Linked DNA regions of Oryctolagus cuniculus. The protein of the gene in region 1 interacts with the protein of each later gene in a biochemical or structural test. Links are inferred from orthologs where the notes say so. Each region holds a gene or a part of one and is shown in the gene's direction. Other genes may lie near its edges. The genes, in order: RB1, MYOD1, E2F2, CDK9, CDK6, UBTF and CDK14.

Region 1 (3,791 bases):
TCTGGATCATTCTGTGGTCTTTTGCTTCTCTTAGAGCAGCTACACACTAAGAAGACTTTTTCAGGTTATTTTCTCCTATATAATAGATGTTTCTCACTAGGTAAAGAAAATTACAAAATACATAAAATTAAGCCTAAAGAGAGGAATTCCTAAGTTCATTCAGCAAGTGTCTGTTATTCTTCCTCAGACATTCAAACGTGTTTTGATAAGAGAAGAAGAATATGACTCCATTATAGTATTCTACAACTCGGTCTTCATGCAGAGGCTGAAAACAAATATTTTGCAGTATGCTTCCACCAGGGTATGTACAAAGTATTCTTTCATTGGGAAAATGTAATTGTAGTGAATGCCACTAACACATTAAATAATACGCTTTTTTGTTTTGCTCTAGCCCCCTACCTTGTCACCAATACCTCACATTCCTCGAAGCCCTTACAAATTTTCTAGTTCGCCCTTACGGATTCCTGGGGGGAATATCTATATATCACCCCTGAAGAGTCCATATAAAATTTCAGAAGGTTTGCCAACACCAACAAAAATGACTCCAAGATCAAGGTTTGTGTTTTCTCTTTAGGGATATGGAAAATAATGAGGGAGTATTTTGATCCAGGCATAAAACCATAAAGATTTCTTTGTTTTAAAAATAAACTAAACTCTTGAGTCTCAATTGCTTGTTTATATTGAGTGACATTATAAGAATTTGGAGGAAAAGAAAAATTTGCTTGTTTGCAAATTTACTCATCAGCTTTCCTGGCTATTGGGGTCTCTCATTTTGTAAACAGCTTGAGACCCGATTTGGTTATATGTTTCAAAGCACTTTCATATTTTTGTAAGTAGCCAATCTGCTGAACAAAGTAGGTTACATTAGTTTTAAAAATTTTTAGTCTGTAATTTATTGAATGCCCTGTAAACTCCTTTTATACCTTACTCATTTTGCTTATTATAAAATTGGGGACGACTTACTAAATGTAGATGACTGTCAATTAAGTATTTAGGATGCATCCCTAATTCTGCCTTGGCCTCCTTGTATTACTGTGGGCAGGTCTCTGTCTCTACTTCAGAAGGGTCTGTGGACCAGGGAAATGATGTGTAAAGCTTTTTTAAATTCTCAGATGAAAGGTTATGTGCAACTACAAATCATTATATTATCTTCCACATCCAAGCACAAGTACTCTCTGGCTTTGAAGTGCTTCAATTGACTAATTATATGTTATCATGGGCTAGTTGAAACTGACTTTATTTGTCTAAAGTGGGAGGCAGATTAACTAGTATAATTAATGTAGTCTCACCTTAAAAATTGTCAGCCCATATAGTTGGCACCTAATGGGCAAGAAAAACAAATAAGGATAAGGAGCTACATTAATTAGCCTTTCAGAAAATGCAAGTAATACATCTCCAGAAAATTTTAAACTCTACAGAAAACTATGAAGTAAAAAAAAAAATGGTAATATGCTCCAAATGCTCTTCTGTGCTCCATTCTTTAGTTACTTGGTATCCTTACAGTTAGATATCTACACAGTGATATTTTTAATGTATATGCTGTTAGGATGCCATGCCATGTTTATTTAAATAAATTTACACAGTTCCATGCCATCACATGAAGATGTACATGCAGGTGGTTTTTAAAATAATGATAATTAATCCATTTTATGGTAATAATAGAGGCTGTTTGCTGATCCTAGTGAAATCAATTCTCTGTTGGTATTCTTTACCAAAAAAAAAAAAAAGTCATATTGTGAAAAGCCTAACTGGTAAGTCATTAATCAGGCATTAAGAAAGGATCTGAGCACTATTTATCCAGCATATTTACATATTGTAGTTAATCAAGTATGTGTGTGTGTAACGATGACTATTTGTCAAGGAGTTAGAAGACAATAACATCTATGGGTCTTCTAGTTCCATGTTCATATTTTCAAAGCTATTGAGTTATGTGAGGCTAAATATGTTCTTCAGCTTTATTATAAGAATATAAATTGTATAGTTCAAACAAAGACACTAATAACTATCTCTGATTCTAGGGTATCTGATAAATAGCCTTTACTATATACAATATAAATACTAATTAGAATTCTGATAATTACTTAGTACTGTAAGTTTTGGCAGATATAACTTGAACTTTAAATGAGGAAATGTGAAAGAAATTTTATAACTTACCCATTGAGAACCAAATAAGGGTAAACTTTAAACCATCTTTTACCCTCTTTAAATGTGAGCTTTGGCAGAATATGTTCTTGTAGACTCTCAGTTCTCTCTGTAAAAACCTAAGAGGCCAGCTGAGTGTTTGATTAGACTAGCACTGTTAGAATAAGCCCCTAATGAATATAGTTTGTCAGAGGATCTAGAGTAAAGGAAGCCTTTGATTTAGAATTGCTGATAGTTCAGAATGATGTGTCTGTGTTCATCTCTGTGCAATACTGTATGGTTTCCATTATTAATTTGTATTTCATCTTCACTTGACAGAATCTTAGTATCAATTGGTGAATCTTTTGGGGTGAGTAATTTTCTGTCTATGAGACATAATGGCATATACCATAACCATAAGGAATAAAATATTTCTATAATTTGAACTGATAAATTCTGTTATTCTATTATTATTCTATTATTCAGATATTCATCTAGGCATTTTGCATGTGTATCTTCTAAGTATATAGTTTTACTTTTAAATAAGTAATAGATATAAATCATACTCATAATTGGTGAACTTCAAAATGGTGCTTAGGCATTCCTTCAAGATTATATAATACCTATACAGACATTCATGTGTATACATGAATGTATCTGTGAGATGGTTTAACAAATCATACTTCTGACACCAAATGTGAGGTTTTGTTCTCATGCCAATCCTCCAATTCTCTGGTCATAAAATATTGTCCTACATTTTTGTAAGGTTATTTATTTATTTGAAAGGGTTATAAAAAGAAGAGACTGAGCAGGAAAGAAATTGTCTTCCATCTGCTGGTTCACTCTCCAAATGGCTGCAACATCTAGGGCTGTGTCAGGCTGAAACCAGAAGCCTGGAATTCCATCTGGGTTTCATATCCTCTGCTGTTTACTGAGGCACATTAGCAGGGTGCTGGTTGGGAAGTGGAACAGCCAGGACTCCAACCAGTTCCCACATGGGGTGCCATGTCACAGGCAGCAACTGTACCTGCTGTGCCACATTGCCAATCCCATGGGTGTCCTACAATTCAATTCAATTCAATTCTGACAGTTCTTAATTAGAGTTAATATCAGTTTCCAGGTTCAAGAGCTTGATACCACAAGACTGTCCTCACTTCAGAAGTCAATCACAGGGGTCAGGCCCATCCAGCTTGGTTAAAATTGAGGTTTCCATAATACCTTTCTCACCTTTTGTGTTTGGTCATTTGCTAGAGTGGCTCACAAAACTCTGAAAAATACTTTACTTATCCTAAGTTATTATAAATGATAAAAAACCAATAGCCAGATGAAGAAAAATATGGGACTGGGTGCAGCAGGGTCCCTCACACAGGAGCTTCTGTCCCTGTGGAATTCACTGACTCCAATACTTTCTCAACCTTGTTGTTGAGGAATTTTTATGGGGTTTGATTATATAGGTATAATTGATAAACAGGGTCTCTAGCCCCTCACCCCTCCCTGAAGGTTATGGGTGTGTCACTGAAAGTGCCAAGTCAAGGCTTGGTGTTTCTGGTGACCAGCCCCCATCCTGCTGCTATCTAGGAGCCCAAAAAGCATTGAACAAAGATGGTCCTATCACCCTTATCATTCAGGAAGTTCCAAGAGTATTAGAGCCCTGTCCCAGGAACCCAGGA
Region 2 (4,045 bases), on another chromosome or scaffold:
GGCTGCCTGCTCCTTCTGCTTCCAGCCTCTCCAGGATGCCTGCAAGGGAGCAACACGGCTGAGGCTTCTGCAGGAGCCGAGCCTGGGGATTGCTTGGGCACCTTCCGGGGCTTTGTGCCCCAGGGGAGGGCTAGGGAGCCCACTGGGCACACTGCTGCAGCTGGTGCTCAGGACAGAGCAGGCCCTCTGACTACCATGGCCCTGCACCTCGGACCGAGGACTTCTGCATCCTTGATCTCTCCAGCTTCTCAGCACTAAGCAACTGCCCCAAGAAAGTCCTCCTATCCCCATATTGAAGCAAACGGCAACTGAGGCTGGGGAAGGAGGTGTGGCTTCCACAGAATCACACAGCTGGGAAACTGGGGATTTGGGTCCCCCCTGGTGGGCAAATGCCATTCTCAAAGAGTTCTCAGGCCAGGTCCCCGCCTCGAGGATCTCTGCGAAAGGCATTTCCCGGGTCTGCGGGGGGTCTGGAGCAGACGCAAGCCCTGCGCAAAGGGAGTTCACTTCCCAGCCCAGGAGGCTCTCAGCCTAGCCCCAGGGACACCCGGCGTCAAGGGCGAGGGTGGGCTGGGCGTGAGTCCACCTCACTGCCTGCAGACCCCGCACGACCCGAGTTCGGAGAGAGGGGCTAGATTAAGCTCCAGCAGCGAGATCCACGCCCGAATAGACGCAGCTGGGTTTCTCAGCGTTCAGGAAAGACGAGCAGGGCCCGCGCAGCCCTCTGAGTGACTCTCAGGACAGGGACAGGGACTGGCCGAGTGGCTCTGCCCCCGCGTCCGGTGCGTCTCTGCCTGGCCCCTCCGTCTCTGGGCCTCTTTGGTGGTGGTGGTGGGGTCTCGCCTTTGCACCACCTCAGCCCTAATTGTGTCTCTGCCCCATTACTTTGCATCTCTCTCAAATCTCTCCTGATCTCATTTCTGCCCCGGCTCTGCTCCTGGTTTCCGCACAAATACGGGACCGAGTAAGAGCCAAACTCCGCCCGGAGGGAAGTGAGCGCCCAGGGCCAGCGTTTCCCGCGAACACAGGAGTCGCGTGTTGGAAAGGGTGTGCCTAGGAGCCAAGCGCAGCGGGTCAGGCTGCCAGTCTGCCGCGCTCCCTGCTCCGGGAGGGACCGGAGTGCGCGCGCGCGCGCTGGTGTCCACGGGCGGGAGGGGGGCCACTCTCTCGCCCTGGCGGCCACCCCGAGGACCCAGAGCTCCGCCCTCCTCTGTTCCTATTGGCCTCGTGCTCCCCCGCCCCCGCCCCCTCAACCGGCTTGGGCTCCCGGGGCGCTTAGGCTACTACGGATAAATAGCCCGGGGCGCCTGGCACTAAGCTAGGGCCGGGGAAGCCCCAGGGCACTGCCGCCGCTCTGCTCGCCGCAGGTCCAGCTGGCCAGGACGCGGCGGGGTGGCGGACAGTCGGGTGTGCCCTCAGACCCCCGGCACTCTGCCATCGCACGGCTGGGGTTCCCCAGCGACAGAAAGTTCCGGGCAACCCCTGCCGCCCGGGTTGGTGAGGCCGGGCCCGCGCCGCCCTGCGCTGGGACATGGAGCTGCTGTCGCCGCCGCTCCGAGACGTGGACTTGACGGGCCCCGACGGCTCCCTCTGCTCCTTTGCCGCAGCGGACGACTTCTATGACGACCCGTGTTTCGACTCCTCGGATCTGCGCTTCTTCGAGGACCTGGATCCGCGCCTGGTGCACGTGGGCGCGCTCCTGAAGCCCGAGGAGCACACGCATTTCCCCGCCGCCGTGCACCAGGCCCCGGGCGCGCGCGAGGACGAGCATGTGCGCGCGCCCAGCGGGCACCACCAGGCCGGCCGCTGCCTGCTGTGGGCCTGCAAGGCGTGCAAGCGCAAGACCACCAACGCTGACCGGCGCAAGGCCGCCACCATGCGCGAGCGGCGCCGCCTGAGCAAAGTGAACGAGGCCTTCGAGACGCTCAAGCGCTGCACGTCCAGCAACCCCAACCAGCGGCTGCCCAAGGTGGAGATCCTGCGCAACGCCATCCGCTACATCGAGGGCCTGCAGGCTCTGCTGCGCGCCCAGGACGCCGCGGGCCCTGGCGCCACCGCCTTCTACGCGCCCGGCCCACTGCCCCCAGGCCGCGGCGGCGAGCACTACAGCGGCGACTCGGACGCGTCTAGCCCGCGTTCCAACTGCTCCGACGGCATGGTAAGGCCTGGACGCCAGGCGGAAGGAGGGGAGGCAGCCCTGGGGCGTGGGGGTGGGGGAAGGAGTGGGTGGGTCTGGAGCCTTTCCCGAGGGCGGGGAGCTGGCCCTCGCGACAGGCATGGGCGGACAGGGGCCCGACCCAGAAGTGGACTCGCGTGGCTCCGGCGGCTGTCGCTGAGGTAGCCTAGGGCTTTGGAAGCACGCAGGACGGGTACAGTCGGCACGGCTGGGACGCTGTTACAAAACTTGTTGAGGGATCTGCTCCTTTCCTCCATGGATCCCTGTTTCCAAAATGCAGATCTGAGTCCTGCCTCGTTTGGCTCTGGACTCTGCGGTGCGCGGCTCCTGTCCACCCAGGACAGATCCGGGACCAGAAGCCCTCGGCTGAGTCTCGGGGAGCTGGGGAGGGGGTTGCTCCTGGGAGTGGCGCTCCGGTCCCGCGGGCCTGACGCGGTCCCCCCAACCCTTTGCAGATGGACTACAGCGGCCCCCCGAGCGGCGCGCGGCGGCGGAACTGCTACGACGGCGCCTACTACAGCCAGGCGCCCAGCGGTGCGTATCCCGCGCCTCCTCCATGTCCCTCTCCCAGCCGCCCTGGCTTCCCTCCACCTAGGACCCCCCCAACCCCGCCCCACATAGCCTGGCAATGGTGCGGGGGATGAAGCCCTGGCGGGTCGCGTGCCCTGCCGTCGTCCCGCACCCTCGCTGGATGGTTTCAGACTCCCGCAAGTCCTCCGAAGCACAAGGGGGCTCAGGGGTGGAGGAGGTAGCCGCGGCTCCACCCCTGCTCACTCCCCTGCCCTCCCCGCGCAGAACCCAGGCCCGGGAAGAGTGCCGCCGTGTCCAGCCTTGACTGCCTGTCCAGCATCGTGGAGCGCATCTCCACGGAGAGCCCCGCTGCGCCCGCGCTCCTGCTGGCGGACGCGCCACCGGAGTCGCCCCCTCGCCAGCAGGAGGCGGCCGCCGAGAGCGAGGGCGAGCGCGGAGCACCCACGCCGGCCCCGGACACCGCCCCGCGGTGCCCTGCGACCGCAAACCCCAACCCCATCTACCAGGTGCTCTGAAGGGGAGGGCTGCCTCGTGCAAGGGCGCCGCTGCCTACGCGCCCGAGGGACGGAGCCCCTGGGGTTCCTTCGTGCCCCCAAGATTGAGCTTAAAGCGACCCTCCGCCCCCTCCTCCGCGGTGGCAGAGACGGGGGGAACCCGGTCCCCGGCCCCAGGGCGAGCTCACGGTGGGTGTCTTCCACGCCGCGCCTGCCCTGGCCGCTGGGCGATCGCCGGCAAGCCGGGGCTGATCCTTCCGCTTCCTCGACGCCTCCCCAGTAGGGGGAACTGGATCGCCGCGGACCCAAGCCCGGCCCCGCCCCACCTCCGTAGCTACATCCTTTCAAGCTCCTCCCATCGCACCTGCGGGATGCGCGCCAGTCCCGCAGGTAACCCACCCCAACCCCGCCCTCCGGTTCAGGACCACTTTTTATAATACTTTTTTGTAATCTATTCCTGTAAATAAGAGTTGCTTTGCCAGAGCAGGAGCCCCGAGGGCTGTATTTATCTCTGACGCATGGTGTGCGGTGCAACGGCGACTTTCTATGTTTATACGGCAGGCGGGCGAGCCGCGGGCGCTCGCTCAGGTGTTCGAAATAAAGACGCTAATTTATGCCGCGGTGGCTCCGGCTTTCCCCGGGCTCGGGGGCGGGATCCGGAGGAAAACCCGCGAGCTGGGCCAGCTGTCTCGCAGCGACCCCTACAGGCGACAGGCAGATTGCAAGGAGGAAGACCGCTCAGGGTCGAGGGAGTGGGGATGCCTCCAGAACACACACTGGGGTTTCTCTGAGTTTGATCTGCATCACACGCAAGGCGGTGGCTCTCATGGAAGCGTGCACATCA
Region 3 (3,791 bases), on another chromosome or scaffold:
AGAGGGTGGCGAGAGGTGGGGCTGGCCCCCCTCAGTTGTGCCTGCGCCCCGTCCTCAGCGCCCAAGTCCCCCGGGGAGAAGACGCGATACGACACGTCGCTGGGGCTGCTCACCAAGAAGTTCATTTACCTGCTGAGTGAGTCGGCCGATGGGGTCCTGGACCTGAACTGGGCGGCGGAGGTGCTGGCCGTGCAGAAGCGGCGCATCTACGACATCACCAACGTGCTCGAGGGCATCCAGCTCATCCGCAAGAAGGCCAAGAACCACGTCCAGTGGGTGTGAGTGCCCGCGCGGGCCATGGGGCCGGTGGTGGGCGGGGCTGGGGTGCCAGTGCCCGCCAGGCTGTGGGGGCTCAGCGGTGGGCGGGGCCGGGGCGGAGAGAGCCCCTGGCTGTGAGGTCAGGGCCAGGGCCGGGGTGTGAGTGCCTGGGATGTGGGGGCCGGGGTGTGGGTGCCGGGGTGTGAGGGTCAGGGCCAGGGCCGGGGTGTGGGTGCCGGGGTGTGAGGGTCAGGGCCAGGGCCAGGGCCGGGGTGTGGGTGCCGGGGTATGAGGGTCAGGGCCAGGGCCGGAGTGTGGGTGCCGGGGTATGAGGGTCAGGGCCAGGGCCGGGGTGTGAGTGCCTGGGATGTGGGGGCCAGGGTGTGAGGTCAAGGCTAGGGCCAGGGTGTGAGTGCCGGGGTGTGAGGGTCAGGGCCAGGGCCGGGGTGTGGGTGCCGGGGTGTGAGGGTCAGGGCCAGGGCCAGGGCCGGGGTGTGAGTGCCTGGGATGTGGGGGCCGGGGTGTGAGGTCAGGGCCAGGGCCAGGGTGTGAGTGCCTGGGATGTGGGTGCCGGGGTGTGAGGGTCAGGGCCAGGGCTGGGGGCAGAGCCACTGCTGGAGAGCTGGGTGGAAGGGCAGGTGCACTCCCTGGAGTAACAGGAGGTGGGAAGCAGGATGGAGATGATCTCCAGGAAAAGCAAAGGCCTAAAAGGACCCCAGCTCCTTCCTCTTGGGTGAGGACTCCCCAGGTCCCCATCTCCTAGCTCAGGGAAGTCCCGGGAAGCTGAGAAGGCCTAACCCAGCCTCCATCTCTGAGACGTGAGGACCAGGGCCTCCTCTTCCCACTCCTGCAGGGTCTGAAAGAGCAGACCTACAGTCCCTGGCGTGGATCCTGAGAGAACCCAGGCAAGGGACTCAGGACTGGGGTCACTGTGGTCCCCTGCCCTTTGGGGGAGGCTGGGCATTAGGGATGGACCGAGTGGAGAGCCCCCCAGAAGCGGGGTTCGGGCCTCGACTTCCAGTTCCAATCCCTGAGAGTGATGGTGACCATGTGATGTACACACCCCGGGGCCACCATCATGCACCTTGACCTGGCCTTGACCTGGAGCTTCACCCCTACCTTCTCTGCAGCCCTGGGGTTGGGGGTGGGACTCTGGGTGTGGATTGACACTGACACTGGCGGTGGGGGGCTGCTCTGTTCCCAGAGGCAGGGGAATGTTTGAAGACCCCACCCGGCCCGGGACGCAGCAGCAGCTGAGGCAGGAGCTGAAGGAGCTGACGAGCACGGAGCAGGCCTTGGACCAGCTCATCCAGGGCTGCTCTCTGAGCTTAAAGGACCTGACCGAGGACAAGGCCAACCAGAGATATCCTGTGCTGTGGAGGGGCCGGCGCAGGGCCTGCGTGTGCTTCTGTCCCACCGCCTCCCAGGGCTCTGGCCATCTGTCTCTTTCTCCGTGGTTTTTCCTCTCAAGCCTGTTAGAGTTACCTTTTCATGATTCAAAATGGGACAAATACATTTTTTAAAGATTTATTAAATTTTTAAAAGACAGAGTTACAGAGAGAGAGAGAGGGAGAGAGGGAGAGAGAGAGAGAGAGAGAGAGAGAGGTCTTCCATCCCCTGGTTCACTCCCCAAATGACCACAATGGCCGGAGCTTCTTCTGGGTCTCCCATGTGGGTGCAGGAGCCCAAGGACATGAGCCATCTTCTGCTGCTTTCCCAGGTGCATTAGCAGGGAGCTGGATTGGAAGTGGAGCAGCTGGGACTTGAACCAGTACCTGTTATGGATGCTGGCACTGCAGGCAGCAGCTTTACCTGCTACACCACAGTGGTGGCCCTGAGACAAGCACACTTCTCTTTTTCTTTCTTTTTTTTTAAGGTTATTTTTATTTATTTGAAAAGCACAGTTACAGAGAGGCAGAAGTAGAGAGAGACAGAGAGAGAGAGGTTGGTCTTCCATCTACTGGTTCACTCCTCAGATGGCTGCAACAGGTGGAGCTGCACCGATCTGAAGCCAGGAGCTTCTTCCGGGTCTCCCATGCAAGTGAAGAATTCCAAGGACCTGGGCCGTCTTCTACTGCTTTCCCAGGCCATAGCAGAGAGCCGGATCAGAAGTAGAGCAGCTGGGACTCGAACTGGTGCCCATATGGGATGCTGGCACTGCAGGCAGCAGCTTTACTTGCTACCCCACAGCACCAGCCCCAAGTATATTTCTTTAAATCTGCAAAATATAGAACAAAAAAGAAGCCGTGGGCTGCCAGCCTAACACATCATCGCTTCCTTACGAGGCTCGGGGACCCTGCTGCACATTGCATTTTTTGTTCTGTTCTTCTCCAATTAATACTGTAGACGTTTGTATTTGCCATTACATATCCACAGGAAAATGCCAGTATGCAATCACGACGTACCCGTGAGAAAGCAACTTCACATGACTCAATCTCTTTTTCACCTGTCTATAAACTGACTTCAGATTGTCTTATAGAATGAGTATGTGGAACAAGTCTAGGTTTCTGCTTTCATAGAGGTGAATATCTTTGTGTGTTGGACATTGCCCCCTTATTGTCACTTATTTCCCTAAATCAGATTCCTGGGATGCAAGCAATGAGGTCAGAGAGCATGGTTTGTGCATTTTCCCAAATGGTTTCACATCTAATTGGCTTTTGGATCTAGCCTGGTATTTTTGGAAGGATGTTAGGCATTGTGAGAAATATAAAGAAGCAAATCTTCCTGTCTTCTCAGAGCTAAGATCTTTTTGAGAGGAAGCCTTTACATAAAAAATTGATATAAGGCAGCATATTTTAAAGATTTTTAATTAATTTATTTAAGAGGTAGAATTACAGACAGAGGGAGAGACAGAGAGAAAGATTTTCCATCTGCTGGTTTACTCCCCAAATGGCCACCATGGCCGGAGCTGGGATGATCCAAAGCCAGGAGCTACTTCCGGGTCTCCCACGCAGGTGCAGAGGCCCAAGCACTTGGGCCATCTTCCAGTGCTTTCCTAGACACATTAGCAGAGAGCCGGATGGGAAGTGGAGCAGCCGAGACTCAATCCGGTGCCCATACGTGTTGCTGGCACCGCAGGCGGAGGCTTAGCCCACTACGCCACAGCACTGGACCCATGGGCAGCATTTGAAAATGATGCACACCTCCTTGGGCTGTCTAAAAGTATCCAAAGGAGCTTATGACATTCAAAGAAGAGGTTACAGTTCTGAGTTATTTCTAAGCAGTGTGAGAAAGCGGGAGTCAGAGGCTTGGGCCCCGCCTGGCATCTGGGGTCTGCACTTTGCCCAGCGCTCACTTTTCTTGACTCTGCCCCTACGCTGGCCTACGTGACGTACCAGGACATCCGTGCTGTCGGCAACTTCAAGGAGCAGACGGTGATTGCCGTGAAGGCGCCGCCGCAGACGAGACTGGAAGTGCCTGACAAGACCGAGGTGAGAGCAGGAGCCCCTGGGGCAGGGTCCTGGGCCGCTCTGTGCGCGCTGCCCTGGCACTGCCCGTGCCAAGCTTCCCTGGGATGTCCGTGCCGCTGTCCG
Region 4 (2,799 bases), on another chromosome or scaffold:
GGGCGGGGCCGGGGCGGGGCGGGGCCGCTGAGCGCCCTCTACTACATCCACAGGAACAAGGTGGGCGGGGCGGGGGCGGGGCGGGGCCGCGGGGGGGGCCGCTGAACGGGCTCTACTACATCCACAGGAACAAGGTGGGCGGGGCGGGGGCGGGAGGGGGCGGGGCCGCGGGGGGGCCGCTGAGCGCCCTCTACTACACCCACAGGAACAAGGTGGGCGGGGGCGGGGCCGCGGGGGGGGCCGCTGAACGCCCTCTACTACATCCACAGGAACAAGGTGGGCGGGGCGGGGGCCGCGGGGGGGCCCCCCCGCTGAGCGCTCTGCTCTGCAGATCCTGCACAGGGACATGAAGGCTGCCAACGTGCTCATCACCCGGGACGGGGTCCTCAAGCTGGCCGACTTCGGGCTGGCCCGGGCCTTCAGCCTGGCCAAGAACAGCCAGCCCAACCGCTACACCAACCGCGTGGTGACGCTCTGGTACCGGCCCCCGGAGCTGCTGCTGGGTGAGGCCCTGGAGCAGGCTGAGGCTGGGCAGGGGCCAGGCACCTGCCTGGGCTTCTTGAACCACCTGCCCCGGGGCTCCGAGCCTCCCGGGGCCACGGCTCAAGGGGCCCCCTGCTGCGCTCTTGTTCCCAGGGGAGCGGGACTACGGCCCCCCCATCGACCTGTGGGGTGCCGGGTGCATCATGGCGGAGATGTGGACCCGCAGCCCCATCATGCAGGGGAACACAGAGCAGCACCAGCTCGCGCTCATCAGCCAGCTCTGCGGCTCCATCACTCCTGAGGTGCGTGCGTGGCCGAGCTGCCGGGCGCCGGGAGGAGTGACGGACGGGGGCCTGGGAGGAGTGACGGCCAGGGGGCCTGGGAGGACTGGCGGACAGGGGGCCTGGGAGGACTGGCGGACAGGGGGCCTGGGAGGACTGACGGACAGGGGGCCTGGGAGGACTGGCGGACGGGGGCCTGGGAGGAATGACGGACGGGGGCCTGGGAGGAATGACGGACGGGGGCCTGGAGGACTGGCGGACGGGGGGCCTGGGAGGACTGGCGGACGGGGGCCTGGGAGGACTGACGGACAGGAGCCTTGGAGGAGTGATGGGTCGAGAGGCTGCAGAGGGGCGGGGCCTGCCTCTTGGAGCCGCATGGGCTCTGGCACCAACTGTTTCGTGGCCGATGCCTCTGATGCCACGTGAAGGGGTCGGGTCCCCATCCCGGGGCGCTCCCAGAGCACCCGTGTGGAGCTGCTGTTGGAATCCCTTTGGGTGCTGACCAGCGGCCAGGCCGCACGCCCACCCGACGGCCTCCCTCCCCGCCCCTCGCAGGTGTGGCCGAACGTGGACAAGTATGAGCTGTTCGAGAAGCTGGACCTGGTGAAGGGCCAGAAGCGGAAGGTCAAGGACAGGCTCAAGGCGTACGTGCGCGACCCCTACGCGCTGGACCTCATCGACAAGCTGCTGGTGCTGGACCCCGCCCAGCGCATCGACAGCGACGACGCCCTCAACCACGACTTCTTCTGGTCCGACCCCATGCCGTCGGACCTCAAGGGCATGCTGTCCACCCACCTGACGTCCATGTTCGAGTACCTGGCGCCCCCGCGCCGGAAGGGCAGCCAGATCACCCAGCAGGCGACCAACCAGAGCCGCAACCCCACCACCACCAACCAGACGGAGTTCGAGCGCGTCTTCTGAGGCCGCGCCCCCCGCTGTGACTCGCGCTGCGGAGCCCGCGGCCGGCGCGGCTCTCTAGTGCGCGTTTTATTTATTCCCTGCCCGGGGCGCCGGGATGCCCAGCCGGCTGGACTGGAGGGAAGCATGGCTGCCCGGCTAGGAGGGCAGGGGGTGGCCGCCCCGGCCCTGGCTTTCTGGACGGTGCCCGGGGGTCTCCGTGCCTGAGGCGGGGACAGGCTGGGAGGAGGGGCTCCCAGCATGATGGGAGGAGGGGACGGTCCCTCGCTCACCCCGCCTCGGGACGAGCGGCTGGCCTTGGGACAGTGTGCTCCGGCGCCCCCCGGGAGCCCTGGGGCTGGCGGGAGCAGGAGTGTTTTATCGGGTTGCGTGGTTGAGTTGAGGGACGTTCCTGCGTGCAGTTTGGTTAGTTACAATTAAAAGTTGGCTTTTTTTTTTTTCCACCTGGTGGCTGTATGTTTTCTGCACCCAGACCCCAGCTGTCGGGTCCCGGGGTCCTGGTGCTGTTCCGGACACAGCCGCAGGAGGCTCTGGGCCTTTCCCGTCCTCTCAGTACACGTGGCGCGATGCTCTCCAAGAAGCGGGTGCTGGGGGGCTGCTGGTCCTGTGCGCGAGTTCTCGGAGGCGGGGGCTCCCGGGAGCCGCGGCGCAGTGTTGACCCAGGCGGGCCTGAGCTGCTGCCCTCACAGTCCGCTGCAGCCTGACTCGGGCACGGCGTCACTTCAGACCTTTCAAAGTGTTTGTTTATTTGAGAGAATTGGGGGGGGAGGCAGGTCTGTCTGCTGGGTCACTCCCCAAACGGCCTCAGCAGCTGGGGCTGGGCCAGGCGAAAGCCAGGAGAACTCCGTGCTCCTCCCTGTGGGTGCAGGGCCCCAGCACCGGGGCTGCCGCCGCTGTCCCCAGGCGCGGTTACAGGGAGCTGGACTGTAGTGAAGCCAGGGCTCCCATGGGAGCCCAGATGTGCAGGTGGTGGCCTAGCCCGGGGCAGCCAGCCCACTGTAAGGCTGTTAATCACGGAGTGACGATCGGACGTGTAACGTGAGGTCCTCTCCCAGGGCCCCGGCTGGAGGGGCCTGGGGAGCGAGGAGGAGGGAGTACCAGCGGGTTGAAGGGCTGC
Region 5 (4,305 bases), on another chromosome or scaffold:
CGCGGCCGGCGCGGCGAAGGTCCGGCCGAGGCCGCGGCGGCCGCGGGGGAGGGAGGCTCCTTCGGCGGCGGAGGGCGGCTGAGAGGAGACGGGAAAGTGAGGGCACCCCCTCCGGGGCTTTGTTGTGCGGAGGGCTCCGGCCCCCGGCTGCACGCGGGACCCGGGCTCCCGGGAGCCGGGGGGCCACGGCGCCGCGGACGGCCTCGCGGGTTGGGGAAAGGGTGGCGAGGGCAGGCTCCGGGGGGCGCAGCCCCTTCCCCCTCGGCCCGGGAGGCGCAGCGTCGACGCCCCCCGCCCCCACCACCCTCTGGGGAGGTAGCGTTCGGCTCAGGTTGACCTGGGCTGGAAACTTCGGGGCGAGTCGGCGGTCCTGGTGTCTTCCTCCCCGCGCTGAGTCCCGGAGGCGGACGCCCCTCGCCCCCACCCTCGGCATCCCACGTGGGGCTGCCCCTTCCAGGGCCTCCGGCTCGCCCACCCCGGCGCAGCCCAGCCCGCCCCGACCAGATGGCTGATTCTCCCGGGGTTTCCACCAGGGAGGTCCCTCGGAGTCGGAGGCAGGATTGCGTTCCCGGCCGAGGCGCCTCGGCCCCCGGCGAGACCACGTACGTGTGCGCCGCGTCTTTAAAGGTCTCCCCCTTAGAAAAACTGAAAGTAGAAAAAGAAAGGAAGCAATTTCCGAGCAGATGCGTGACGACCCCTTCTCGCACCCTGCCCGGCCGCGGGCTCCGGGGTCCCGGGAGCCCCCACCCGCGTCCAGGCCCCCGGGCGGCGCGGCGCGCGAGGGATCCGCGCGGAGCCGTGACATTGACGCGCCCGGCGCCTCCCCTCCCCCGCGCTCCCGGCACACTCCGGGCCGCTCGGCACGCCCCCTCCCGTTGCCCTGCGTCCCGCGCGGCGCGCTCATCCCCGAGGGGCCCCTGCAGCCTCGCCGCGCGCAGACGGCTGCAGCCCTGCGGGGAGAGAAAGTGACCTCGCTTTGCTCGGGAGGAGCCAGGCAGGCTTGGGCGGCGCGGGAGAGGGCCGGGCGCGCGTGGGGGCGCCGTGGAGGAGGGGAGGCTGCAGGAACCCCGAGGAAGGCTCCCGGGCGGTCTGACTTGTCGTCCTCTCTCCTGTCCCCCGTTTCAGTCGCAAAGACCCCGGACCGAGACGCGCTCGGGTGGAGACTATGTGATCGCCTCGGTGTCGGTGCGGAGGACTTCGCTTCGGGGAGGGAAGAGGAGGGCTCGGCTCGCTCCCCGGCGGCTCGGCAGGCGGAGTTTCGCCGCGGCGGCACCAGGGTTGCGCCAGCCCGCGCCGGAGCCGGCGGGGCCGAGGAGAGCGGGACCGAGCTCCGGGGAGCCGCGGCGTGCAGGCGGCATGGAGAAGGACGGCCTGAGCCGCGCCGACCAGCAGTACGAGTGCGTGGCGGAGATCGGGGAGGGCGCCTACGGGAAGGTGTTCAAGGCCCGCGACCTCAAGAACGGAGGCCGGTTCGTAGCGCTGAAGCGCGTGCGGGTGCAGACGGGCGAGGAAGGCATGCCGCTCTCCACCATCCGCGAGGTGGCGGTGCTGAGGCACCTGGAGACCTTCGAGCACCCCAACGTGGTCAGGTGAGCCCTGGGGTCCGCGCCGTCGGGGGCCCGGGGAGGTGCGGGCTTCGCCGGCGCCGTGCCGCCGGTGTTTTCTCCCCGACCGCCCCGAGGGCCTTGCGGGGGAGGCCTTGGGGGCAGAACCAACAGACCTGAGACCACTGCTGCTTGCGTTTCCCGGCTTCGGGGGATCTTTCTTTCTTTCTTTCTTTCTTTCTTTCTTTCTTTCTTTCTTTCTTTCTTTCTTTCTTTCTTTCTCTTTCTCTCTCTCTCTCTCTCTCTCTCTCTCTCTCTCTCTTTCTTTCTTGCGACTGCAAAGGAGAGGGAGCAGGTTGTCCGTGTGATAAGCGAGGAGAAAACTTCTAGGGTGGAGCCTTGCACAAATGAGGTCTTTAAAAATGCAGAAACGGATAAGAATATGTTTGCTAATCACACCCAGTTTCTCTGTATTAAAGTTGCACAATGAGAATGGCTTACTGATGATCCGGGGAGTCGCCCAGTGGCAGACAGCATCGTCCCAGAGCTGTCATCCTTCTTGTCCGTGCCACTTCTCTCTGGGCTGGCATAGCCCCTGGACCACCGCTGCCAAGGGATGGGTGTCCAAGGTGTGGTGGCTTTAGATTCTCAGTGCTCTTTGTCCTTGCTTTTCCTGGGTGACTGGCAGGAGTGGGGTACGCAGTCAGTCCCTGAAGTCTCTGCTGTGCTGTGACCGGTATTAAAGATATTAAATGAAACTGTGTGTGTGTGTGTGAGTGAGACTTAGGGGAATGGTGGGTTCTTGGTGATCCTGGAATCGCCCCTTTGCGCAGTTGACTGTGTGTGCGTTTGTGTCATCTTGTTTTTAAACAGAGGAGCTGCATGGCTTCAGGTCACAAAGGCATGCACGGAGGCAGAGCGGGTTGTGGACTCCTCACGCGTTGGGAGAAGGAGGTCCCAGACCCTCCTTCCGCGAGGCATTGTGCTCAACACTTACGTGCCTGCTGCGTGCGCTGCGGATGAAGTGATGTAAATAAGCATGGCTAAATATTTTTGTGAAAAGTCAAACAGTTTAACATTACTCATCAAAACGGAGCGACCCGAGAATGACCTGAAATACCAAACCCTGGACAGGCTCAGGGAGACCGGGTGCCTGCAGTCTCCGTGGGAGGTTCTGACCTGCCTCTTCTTACCCTAGGCTGGGTGATTGGTGTAGTGTTTTGTTCCCAAGACAGTGAAGACTCAGGCTGGAAGGCAGCAGAGAATCATAAATACATAAATAAGGTAGTAAATGACTGTAAAGATAGGACTCCATTATACCTCTCCATCAGCTTGTCAAGGGTGGAGGTCGAAGATAAAGAGACTGGGAGAGTGTTTTGGGAGGTGGGCTTACATATTAAAGCGACAGGTTACCTTTTCTCCGTGTTTTTGAAAAAACTAAACAAACAAACAAACAAAAAAACAAAATACCCCTGGAGGGTGTGTTTGTTGGTATCAGAGTGGGCGTAGAGGGGACAGTTAGCTCCCTCTAACTTAGTACTTTCCCTAGGGTGTCGCCTAAGCCCTTCCAAAGGGTGACTTCACCAGTAGAATTTTGAGACCAAGATTTCTGGTTTTGTCCCATCCCAGGCAGCTGCCACATCTGACCTTCCAGCATGGGGGTGTTACAGAGGCACGCTGGTGGTACTACCACTGTTGTTAACGAGGCAGGACTCGCTCTCCTGACGGAGGAGAGCTCGCGCCCCGTGCTGCCGCGCTGGGGCCCCTCCGTCCCACCCGCGGGGTGAAACCTGCTGAGGCTGGTGTGTCTTCAGAGATCTCTCACTGAGCCACAACTGAGATTCTGCACTGCAAATGTCAGGAGGATTTACTTAACGAATCAGAAGACACCTTTTTCTAAGACTGTCTTTGCCTGTTGAGCGGTGCGGTGCCACCCACCCCTTGGAGTTGGTAGTTGGTGAGGGTCAAGTGAGACGCCATGTGTGAAAACACTTTGTGCATCTAGAAGCACTTCAGGTGTCTACACATTGTGTTCCTGAAGATTAGTGGGACGCGCTTGCCCAGAACAGGTTCCCAGCAGGCATCAGTGCACCTGGCCTTTTTATTTTTTTTTCCAAGAACAAATCATATTCATACCCTTAGATTACAGGCTTCGGAGCCACAGGGGCTACTTGAGTACAGTGAGCCTGTAGTTTGTCCACAAAGGCTGTCAGTCATATGCCATGAAGCTCAGTGACACTTGAGGAAATTATTGATGATGTCACCCTCACGAGCTACAGATCTCTCTTCCTGTTTCATTTCCTTCCTGTTTCTTCTTCCACCGCTGCCTTGGGACGACCACTGGCTCCCATGATCGCCACACTGAGCACACTGAGCAGTAACGGATTTCAGAGGTGGCTACTCTGTTCAGGCAGAGTCAGGAAATCAAGGACAGGTGACGGCAGTTCTTCTCTGCGGAGAGGGAGAGAGAGAGTTGTCAGTTTGACCCCAAGCCTGTGATTTGTTGCTGCCCCCAGGATCAGCTTTACAGGCTGATGCTTGGTTCTTTAAATGTTTCTTAAAAGGGCAGATGCCATTATAAGTGCCTCCAAGTCATAAGTAATTGATCGTAATTACAGGCCCTCCCCGCAGATAGTTAAGCCTCTAAGCTTGAAGGAGCATAATAAACATATTAGTTTTTTTTTTTCCAAAAGTTTAAGATTTAATTTTGATGGACTTGCCAGGAGCGCTGACTTGTTGCTGCTGGCACTGACACAGCCTG
Region 6 (4,297 bases), on another chromosome or scaffold:
AAAGGGGGGCAGAGAGAAAGGGCCAAGGGCAAATTCCCTGGTGTGCTGGCCCACAGCCCAAGTCCTCGGCTCCTGACCGCACCAGAGCTGTGATGGGTGCGACCCAAGCCAGTCGCTCTCCAAATGGGAAGGGCGCCAGCAGTTCTGCTGCCCAAGGAATCAATAACAAGCATTCTTATGATTCACGTTCATCCTGCTTTATTCCGAAGCACTTTACCGAAAAGCCCCTTGACCCAGCCAAGAAGTTCAGGGCCAGGAGCCAAGACACCTGGACTCCAGACCTGCGTGTGGCAGATCTGGAACCTTCTTGGGGGTCTAGGTTTCTCCCATTGACCCTCGGATGCCTGGTGAGGCTGCTGTTGTCATTCCACAGATACGGAAACTAGGATCAGGTGGGGTTAAAACTTGCCCAAACACTCACACTATTAAAAAAAAAAGTTAGGACTTTTGATCCCAAAGCCTTTGTCAGAAATAGCAACTGGTTCCATGCCCCGATTTCGGTGCAGCCTGAGATGGCTTGATCCTGCATAAAATGTCCCCAGAGTGAATCAAAGGCAGATCAAGTGTGAGGGCCTGCAGGTGAACTGTGGAGGTCGGAGTGCTCTTTAACCAAAAAAATAAAAAAGAACCAACTACGGGATGCAAAGTCAAGTCCAAGGTCTTGCACAGGCCTTAAAGCTTCAACTTCATTCGCATGATGGTCAGTCTGCATCTTCCTCATGTCCTGCCCGCTAAAAACCCAGACACACCAGATCCCGGCGGCGCCCTCCTCCCGAGGCGAGAACCGTGGCAGGAGTCTTGGGAAAGGAATCTCATCTCTCCCAGGAGGCAGGAGGAATTACCGCGGCGGAGAGCCCGTGCGAGGAGGGAGGGAGGCTGCGCGCCAGCCAAGAGCCCACAGGGGCCCGGGGACGCAGCGGAACAAGACGCGGGCAGCGGCGGGGCCGGGGTGGGAGCCAGGCGTCATGGCGCTGTCCCGGACGAAGGGCCAAGCCGTGGGCCGGCCTGCCGCAAGCCAGCGCCCTCGGCTGTCCGCGGGCTCCCTGCGTCCTGCCCTGAGAACACTTCCCCGGAGCTAAGAAGGCAAAGTCGGACAACCCCGGCGCCGGCAGCGGAGGCCGAGGCCGGACGCTCTGCGCGGCCCGCGCGGCCCGGGTGCCGGGCGCCCCTCGCGGCTCCCCACCGCCGCCGGGGGGCAGCGCCCGCGGCCTGCTTTCCCCGGGCTGGTCGAGCCTTTTTGACAAGCTGATTGCGTGGCGGGGATTGGCTGGTCCGGGCGTGACGCCGGTAACAACAAAGGTGGAGTTGGAAGAAATTAGATTAAGGGAGAGGAGGAAAAAAAAAATTAAAGGGGGAGCTGGCAGGGGACAGGCGGCGGCGAGCGAGGGGGAGATGCGCGCGGCGCGGCCTCCGGTACCGACTGGGCCCCCGGAAGCCTCTCCGCGTAAGCCCGCCGGGACCTGGCTCTCGCTTCCCACCCCGGCCCACTTCCGAAGCCGGGTAGGAGAGACGGCTGCTGCTGCTTTGGAAACCTCCCAGCTCCCACCCTGCCACCCCTCACGACGACCCGAGGGGAGAACTTTTTGCTCGGACTCCACGTATCCTCAGCCCGGCGAAGGTGGGGGGGCGCTGGGAAGGAGGCTCGCTCCAAACCCGGGACGGCCCCGCGGGGCTCGGAGGTCGGGCGAGGAGCGCTGCCGCTCCGGTCTTCCGAGATGGCTCATCTAAGAGCTTCTTTCTGTCTTTTCTTTCTTTTTTTTTTTTTATAACACCCCCCCCCCTTTACTTCCCCCTCGCTTTGGCTTCAGGGTTGCAAAAGCAAAGAGCAATAAAAAAAAAAAAAAAAAAAGGAAAGAAAAAAGAAAAAGAAAAACCGCGCACACACTCAGACACACGCCAGTGGCGACAGGGGAGAGTTGGAAAGGCGCAGGAGAGAAGCAGGAGGCGGGCGGCGGCGGGGCCGGAGCCTTGGGAGCGGGGAGCGGGCAGGTTCCCTCGCAAAACCCCCTCCGCCCCACGGCGCCTCGCCGGCCCCGGCAGGGGAGCGAGGAGCCGGGCGAGCAGATGGAGGAGTGGAGCTCGCTCTAGGCAGCGGGCTTGGCCGGAGAATGGAGGAGCCGCCAAGCGACCGGCTGATTGGAAGAGAAACGCAGAGCGATGGAGGCGGGGGTAGGAGGACGATTTCTCTGCGGGGACTGGCGGCGGCGTACACGCCCGGGTCGGGCGCTGCAGAGCTTGGCTGGCTTTCAACCCGCGCTCGCCGGCTCCAGCCCCGCGCGCCCCCACCCCCGGCCCTCCCGGCGGCTCCGCAGGTGAGTGCGAGCTGGGGGCAAAAAGACCCAAAGTCTCCGCACTCCCGCCCTGCAAAAAAAAAAAAAAAAAAAAAAGAGGAAAAAAATTTTTTTCCTTTTTTTCCCCCCAATTTTCGCGCAGCCCCGAGAGCGGTGGGAGGGAAGGGGTGAGGCTGAGCCACCCGGAGGAGGCGGAGGGGCCAGGCGAGGCCGCGGTGGCCCGGGAGGCGGCGGCGCCGAGGCGGCTCTGACGGGCGAGCGCTCGGAGCGGCGCTGCGCTGCGCCGAGGCGGGCGGGCGGAGCGGGGCGGGCGGAGCGCGGCGCGTGGGGCTCGCCATTAGCCGTCGCTCCGCTTCGCCATCTCGGGCTTTGTCTGGCGACTCGCTGCCCCGGAGTCGGCTGCGGCGGAGCTGCGGCTCGGCTCTCCGGCCCGCCGCGCCCCCAGGTGTCCCCGGCCCGCGCTCCCATCCACACGCTCGGTAAGTGAGCCCCGGCGCCACGGATTTCGGGGGAGAGGGGTTGCTCCGAGCGGCCGCGCCGCCGATCTCCATGCGCCCAGGCAGGCCTGGGGAGCCATGCCGGGCTGGATTGAACCGGCTCCCACCGTGGCTCCTCGCCGCTTCCTGGGTGTAAGGAGCGAAGGGAATTTCTTTTTCCCCCTTGGCAAGGATATTTTGCTTTTCGAGTTTCGCGTGTGCCGTTCGGCGGCGAAGTAGGCGCCGAAGCTTGGCACCGCGATCGGCACCCCGAGCGAGTAGCCACGCTCTGGGGAAGGTGGGCGCGAACCGCCCGCGCCGGGAGGCGGGAGAGGGCCGGCTTGGAAGGCCGGATCTGGGCTGGGAGGCCGTGGAGGAGAGGTCCGGGGCTGCACTGCGGGCACCCCCGAGCCTCTTCGGCCGCCGGGGGGCCCTCCGGGCACCCTCTCCGCGGCCGCGCCTCGGCCCTCCCTCCCGCGCCGGCCGAGCCTGCTAGTTCCCCCGCGGGTCTGGCGAGGTCGCTCTCGGCGCCCGCCCGCCCGCCCGCCTCGGCTCCGAGCCCCGCCGCCATCCGGGCGGCTGCGTGTCTCCCTGCCCCGGCCCCCCCCCCTCCCCGGCGGCAGCAGCAGCAGCAGCCGCCGCCGCCGCCACCGCCACCACCACCACCACTACCACCACCCCCCTCCCCTCCTTCCTTCCCTCCGCCTCGGCCGCCCGGGTCCCCCCAGCTCCCGCCCCTCCTCCCAGCTGCCCCCCGCGGAGCCCGCCCGGGCAGGCTGTGGGAGGGAGCGGAGCCGGCGAGGCGGGCGGGCTGGCGCTCGCTCCCCGGGGGTCGGTGTGCGCTCTACGGGGAAGGACGCGCTCGCTGCCCCGCTTCTCCCGCCCCCCCTCCCGCTCCTCCTCCTCCCTTCTCCCTCCTCCTCCCCGCTCCGGCGGCGGAGGCTGCGGCGGCGGCGGGGGGTGTGCGAGCTGAGGCCGGGGCCGGCGGGCGGGCGGCGGGCGGGCTGCCTGCAGGCGGAGGGCGCTGTGCTTTGTGCTTTTCGCCGCGAGGAGCAGCAGGCAGCAGCTACAGCCGCCGCCGCCACAGCAGCAGCAGCAGCCGCCGCCCCAGCGCCGCCACCGCGCCCGGAGGAGGAGCCGCTGCCGCCGCGGGAGGGAGCTGCGGCTGTGCCCGGCCGAGCGGGGGAGGGCGCCGCCGCTCAGAGCCGGGGAGGGAGCCGCCGGAGCGGGAAGCCCGGAGGTCGCGCTGCGCCGGGTAACCGAGGCGGCTGAGGGCGCGCGCTGGGGGTCGGGGCCGGGGCGGCCAGGGAGAGACCCGCGGGAGCGGCGGACACCCCGGCGCAGACCCGGGGCGGCCTCCGAGCAGGGTCTGGACGCGAGCAGACCGGGGCACTGGGGAGGACGCCGGGGGAGGGGAAGGCAGGAAGCGAGGCCCGAGCCGAGCCCCGGCCTCGGGCGGAGGAGCCCGCGCTTCTCCCAGCCGGCAGGCGCAGTTCTCGCCGGCCGCCGGAGGGGGCGGCGGGGCCGGTG
Region 7 (3,791 bases), on another chromosome or scaffold:
TATCTACAAGGTAACCACTGTACTGAAAGTCTTTGGTTAGAGGTTAGAAAGCTTCTTAACTCGTAGCAGGATTTTCCCACCTGCTTCAGGGTCTTTCATGAGGTAGAATGGCAGCATCTTAAAATGTTAGATGCACTGAGTTATGGAAGCCCTGTGAGATGCCTGTAGAACTTGGCCCCCGTCATGTGCACACCCTCAGCCAAAGCAGCAGTGTGCACATAACCTGTACACACAGGTTAGCATTTCACTTTGCGTTTTGACTTTTAATTCAAGCTAAACATTAATATAAGAAGTTTTGGTAATAACCCATGAACTTCATCTTTTATGAAAGGTGGTGTAGCTTTCTTCCTGTAGTGTAACCATAGCAACTGACAAGGAACAGAGAAAGCAAGCTTTCACACATGCTGGGCTAATTAATCCTGTCCTACGGTTTTCCTTCAGCTTGGGGGTGCAGTTTAATAAATTTTGCATGAGTGAGCATGTTTTGATGCATGAACTGTGTAAATACCTTGTGGTATCTTTACCAAAATTATTTGGGAAAAATGTAGCTCCATACGTACTTCACGGTATTCATTCATCTGTTCAGTCTTTTTTCTTTCTTCCTTCCCTTCTTTGTTTTGGCATTGTTTTAATACTTTGCTACTTTCCTGAACAGTATTGGGATTCATTTGTGTTATTAACCAAATATTTTTAAGATGAAGACCTTTTGTTCATCAATACACAGCACACTTTTCACATGAAACTATTTTAATTGATAAAGTGAAATGATGAGAGAATGTTTCTCAAGTGATGCAGAAGAATGCGTCTTGAAATTGTGGGGCCAGCACTGTGGCAGAGTAGGTTAAGCCTCCACCTGTGGCACCAGCATCTCCCATGTGGGCACCAGGATGAATCTAGCTCTCTGCTTATGGCCTGAAAAAGCAGTGGAAGATGGCCCAAGTGTCTGGGCCCCTGCACCCACATGGGAGACCTGAAAGAAACTCCAGGCTCCTGGCTTCAGCTCCGGCCATTGTGGCCATTTGGGGAGTGAACCAGCAAATGGAAGACCTCTCTCTCTCTCTCTCTCTCTCCTTCTCACTGTCTGTAACTGTAACTCTTAAATAAATCAATCTTTTGTTAAAAAACTATAACAACAGTCTTCATTCTTTGACACTTTACGTGCAAACTCTTATGAAACGGAGTCTTCACACTTTAAAAAGTTACATATTGAAAACCCATTTTCACTGTTGTTTTGTAAAGTTATGTGACTCATTTGAATAAAGTTGGGACGTTCTTTAATTTATATATGTGGGAAGGAGAGAACAATATAGCAAAAGAATTTTTCTGTTTATATTTTCCACAAGTATTAAACCAGTTGAACAAACTCATATTTAGCATTAACATAATTGAACTGAAATTATATACAATTATCTTGATTGCTAGTATTTTCCAGGTTATTTTCAAGGTCTTGGTTTCCCTTTACAAGTGAGAATATCACAGTTTTTTGAAACCAGCGTGGTCATCTGAGCTGTCATAGAAAGCCTGGGATGTTTGCATTCTCACGCCCCTCTGGCCTCACTTTCTGATAACAGGGCCTTGGGAAAACCAAGGGAATCCAGGCTGAATGTTTTTTTGCCTCCCATTTGACTTGACAACAGCACATGGAACAAGTCAGAACCTATTTTCAGGACTTGTATTTTGCTGTTTAGTCTATATGGAAGCTCAGTCATTTGAAGAGCAAAACGTTTTGATGAGATTACCTAAATTCTAGAGGCATTATGCTGTCTTGATGGTCCTGTCTGTTATTAGTTTTGCCTGAGTTGAAGTAAGACGAAACTGCAGAGAAAAAAAGTAAGGGATTATTATGGAAATGTGTTATCAAAATAGGTATTCCACTCGTGTGCTGAAAAAGTAGGGACCATAAAAGTGTATGCATGTGTGTGTTTGGATAATCTGCATGTGCAAATATCGAATACTCATAAATGTTAACCAGTCTATGGCATGACATTACATTTTATAAACTGGCTTTGTAGAATAAAATTGACTGTAACCATAACTAAATTAATAAGACAATTTTTTGTTCACTTTTATTAATTTTTGCATTTACATATAACACAATGGAATACCATAAAAGGAAAAAGTCATTTTCCTAAATACTACAATAAAAATTTAAATGAATATGTCATGGTAGGATCACTATAAAAATGTTTTATGTGCTTGGAATGTCACAATGGTAAATACTTTATATTTGTTTTAAAGAACAAAGCCAGATAGAGAGCTGTCACAAGGAGGTTTTTTTTCTTTTCAAAAATGACATGTGTTGGTTTTATATTTTGAAGAATTTTATTTTCATTACCTCAAACTTGGAAAATCCTTAGAAAATCTTACAAAAATATAAGAAAATTGTATAATCCTAAAGTTGAGAGGTAATCACTGAAGATGTTTAGATATATTTCCTGCCAGTCTTTTTCCTATGCATTAATTTATAGTAACAGAGATAAACTGCATCTATTTTTTTCATTTACTGTCTTACTGTGACCATGCTCTCAGTGTTAAGAAATTTTAAGAAGGCATTTTCCTTCATTGTGTGCAATCTCATCATCTGTGGGTACCACATTTATTTGACTGTTCCTTTGGAAGTGGGTGGTTTTCAATTGATCTTCCCCAGTCAGCATTTCATGGTGATGACCTGATAATGCTCAAATCACAGGCAGCTTTAGAACAGCCCTGTGAGGAAAGTGTCCTGCCATCTTCTTACAGATGAGAAAAATCAAGACCACTGAGAAGTCTTACAATTTGGAGACAGTTTTACTTCCTAAACCTTTCTTTTCTCAAAGTTCTTTGACCAGAGAAGCTTTTCGGATAATACTTACACATTCGTAACTCTCAGAACTAGAGCTCTATGAAGCATACTTTGGAAAACCTCAGGGATTTTAAGCCTCTGTTTTATATCTAATGGCTTATGAACTACTTGTTTACTTAACTGATATCTTATTAGATTTGTGAAACCAGAGTGCTATTATGAAATATAAATAATTTAATGGTTATTAGCATGTATTCAAAAGAGAAACCACCATATGCTCTCCCCAGATTTTCTATTAACTTCAACATTACATTCATGACTCTGAATTGCCATATCGTGTTTGACCTTTCAGAACTGTGAACATTCAGACTTAAAACCCTCGTTCCATTAGTGCCCATTAAACTTGTTTGTGTTTCATGTAACCTACAGGTCTTGCACGAGCAAAGTCCGTCCCCAGCCACACATACTCCAACGAAGTGGTTACCCTGTGGTACAGGCCTCCGGACGTGCTCCTGGGCTCCACAGAATATTCCACCTGCCTTGACATGTGGTGAGAAACGGAAGCTTCACTCTGCCTAGTCTGTCCACTGTGCTTGGTCTGGGTCAAGCCTAGACAAACCTCCTAACAGTCTGAATGAAGATTAATGGTGCGTGGGCAGGAGTGTTTGCCTGGGTGTCACAACACTGCTGCGTTTTTTGAAAACCTGATTGGGAATGCTCTCTAATCAGAGTCTCCTTTGCAGATGGTGTCTGGTAATGGTTCTTGATCGACAGGGGCAGAGACATTTTTCTAACTGTCAGTACTGAGTTTTCTCCCTAGGGGTCTTAGTTTGTGGCTTTATTTCGTAACAAGGTTATCTGTCTATACACACACACATATATATTTCAAATTTCAGCTGTGTTGGAAGAAACCGTGGGCATGCTTAAATTCACAACAAAGCTCAGATAAGTGGTCTGAAAATTTTGTTGAGACTTAAGCGCTATATCTCTGAAAACTGATGGTGTCAGT

The links.
Region 2: the proteins of RB1 (region 1) and MYOD1 form a complex in vitro, tested with the Homo sapiens proteins (2 studies listed by BioGRID). The link is inferred for Oryctolagus cuniculus from reciprocal best matches to the Homo sapiens genes RB1 and MYOD1.
Region 3: the proteins of RB1 (region 1) and E2F2 form a complex in vitro, tested with the Homo sapiens proteins (2 studies listed by BioGRID and IntAct, with this or other methods). The link is inferred for Oryctolagus cuniculus from reciprocal best matches to the Homo sapiens genes RB1 and E2F2.
Region 4: of the proteins of RB1 (region 1) and CDK9, one has a biochemical effect on the other in vitro, tested with the Homo sapiens proteins (4 studies listed by BioGRID, with this or other methods). The link is inferred for Oryctolagus cuniculus from reciprocal best matches to the Homo sapiens genes RB1 and CDK9.
Region 5: of the proteins of RB1 (region 1) and CDK6, one has a biochemical effect on the other in vitro, tested with the Homo sapiens proteins (9 studies listed by BioGRID and IntAct). The link is inferred for Oryctolagus cuniculus from reciprocal best matches to the Homo sapiens genes RB1 and CDK6.
Region 6: the proteins of RB1 (region 1) and UBTF form a complex in vitro, tested with the Homo sapiens proteins (2 studies listed by BioGRID). The link is inferred for Oryctolagus cuniculus from reciprocal best matches to the Homo sapiens genes RB1 and UBTF.
Region 7: of the proteins of RB1 (region 1) and CDK14, one has a biochemical effect on the other in vitro, tested with the Homo sapiens proteins (2 studies listed by BioGRID). The link is inferred for Oryctolagus cuniculus from reciprocal best matches to the Homo sapiens genes RB1 and CDK14.

What each region holds. Positions count from the first base shown.
Region 1 is NC_091440.1:67,472,672-67,476,462, forward strand, and holds part of RB1 (retinoblastoma-associated protein), read left to right. Parts: intron 1-187; coding exon 188-301; intron 302-391; coding exon 392-555; intron 556-2,460; coding exon 2,461-2,491; intron 2,492-3,791. UniProt on the Homo sapiens protein: Tumor suppressor that is a key regulator of the G1/S transition of the cell cycle. The hypophosphorylated form binds transcription regulators of the E2F family, preventing transcription of E2F-responsive genes.
Region 2 is NC_091432.1:48,597,234-48,601,278, reverse strand, and holds MYOD1 (myoblast determination protein 1), read left to right. Parts: upstream 1-1,245; 5' UTR 1,246-1,531; coding exon 1,532-2,158; intron 2,159-2,631; coding exon 2,632-2,710; intron 2,711-2,971; coding exon 2,972-3,222; 3' UTR 3,223-3,819; downstream 3,820-4,045. UniProt on the Homo sapiens protein: Acts as a transcriptional activator that promotes transcription of muscle-specific target genes and plays a role in muscle differentiation. Together with MYF5 and MYOG, co-occupies muscle-specific gene promoter core region during myogenesis.
Region 3 is NC_091438.1:147,416,217-147,420,007, forward strand, and holds part of E2F2 (transcription factor E2F2), read left to right. Parts: intron 1-58; coding exon 59-278; intron 279-1,462; coding exon 1,463-1,621; intron 1,622-3,574; coding exon 3,575-3,689; intron 3,690-3,791. UniProt on the Homo sapiens protein: Transcription activator that binds DNA cooperatively with DP proteins through the E2 recognition site, 5'-TTTC[CG]CGC-3' found in the promoter region of a number of genes whose products are involved in cell cycle regulation or in DNA replication.
Region 4 is NC_091432.1:231,221,978-231,224,776, forward strand, and holds the end of CDK9 (cyclin-dependent kinase 9), read left to right. Parts: intron 1-331; coding exon 332-503; intron 504-636; coding exon 637-785; intron 786-1,319; coding exon 1,320-1,685; 3' UTR 1,686-2,125; downstream 2,126-2,799. UniProt on the Homo sapiens protein: Protein kinase involved in the regulation of transcription.
Region 5 is NC_091447.1:42,947,924-42,952,228, forward strand, and holds the start of CDK6 (cyclin-dependent kinase 6), read left to right. Parts: upstream 1-1,356; coding exon 1,357-1,589; intron 1,590-3,635; exon of another isoform or gene 3,636-3,995; intron 3,996-4,305. UniProt on the Homo sapiens protein: Serine/threonine-protein kinase involved in the control of the cell cycle and differentiation; promotes G1/S transition. Phosphorylates pRB/RB1 and NPM1.
Region 6 is NC_091448.1:19,038,586-19,042,882, forward strand, and holds the start of UBTF (nucleolar transcription factor 1), read left to right. Parts: upstream 1-1,373; 5' UTR 1,374-1,618; intron 1,619-2,182; exon of another isoform or gene 2,183-2,312; intron 2,313-2,631; exon of another isoform or gene 2,632-2,770; intron 2,771-3,833; coding exon of another isoform or gene 3,834-4,297. Other genes in the region: basic salivary proline-rich protein 2-like, read right to left, coding at 3,834-4,297. UniProt on the Homo sapiens protein: Recognizes the ribosomal RNA gene promoter and activates transcription mediated by RNA polymerase I (Pol I) through cooperative interactions with the transcription factor SL1/TIF-IB complex.
Region 7 is NC_091447.1:44,623,499-44,627,289, reverse strand, and holds part of CDK14 (cyclin-dependent kinase 14), read left to right. Parts: intron 1-3,211; coding exon 3,212-3,332; intron 3,333-3,791. UniProt on the Homo sapiens protein: Serine/threonine-protein kinase involved in the control of the eukaryotic cell cycle, whose activity is controlled by an associated cyclin.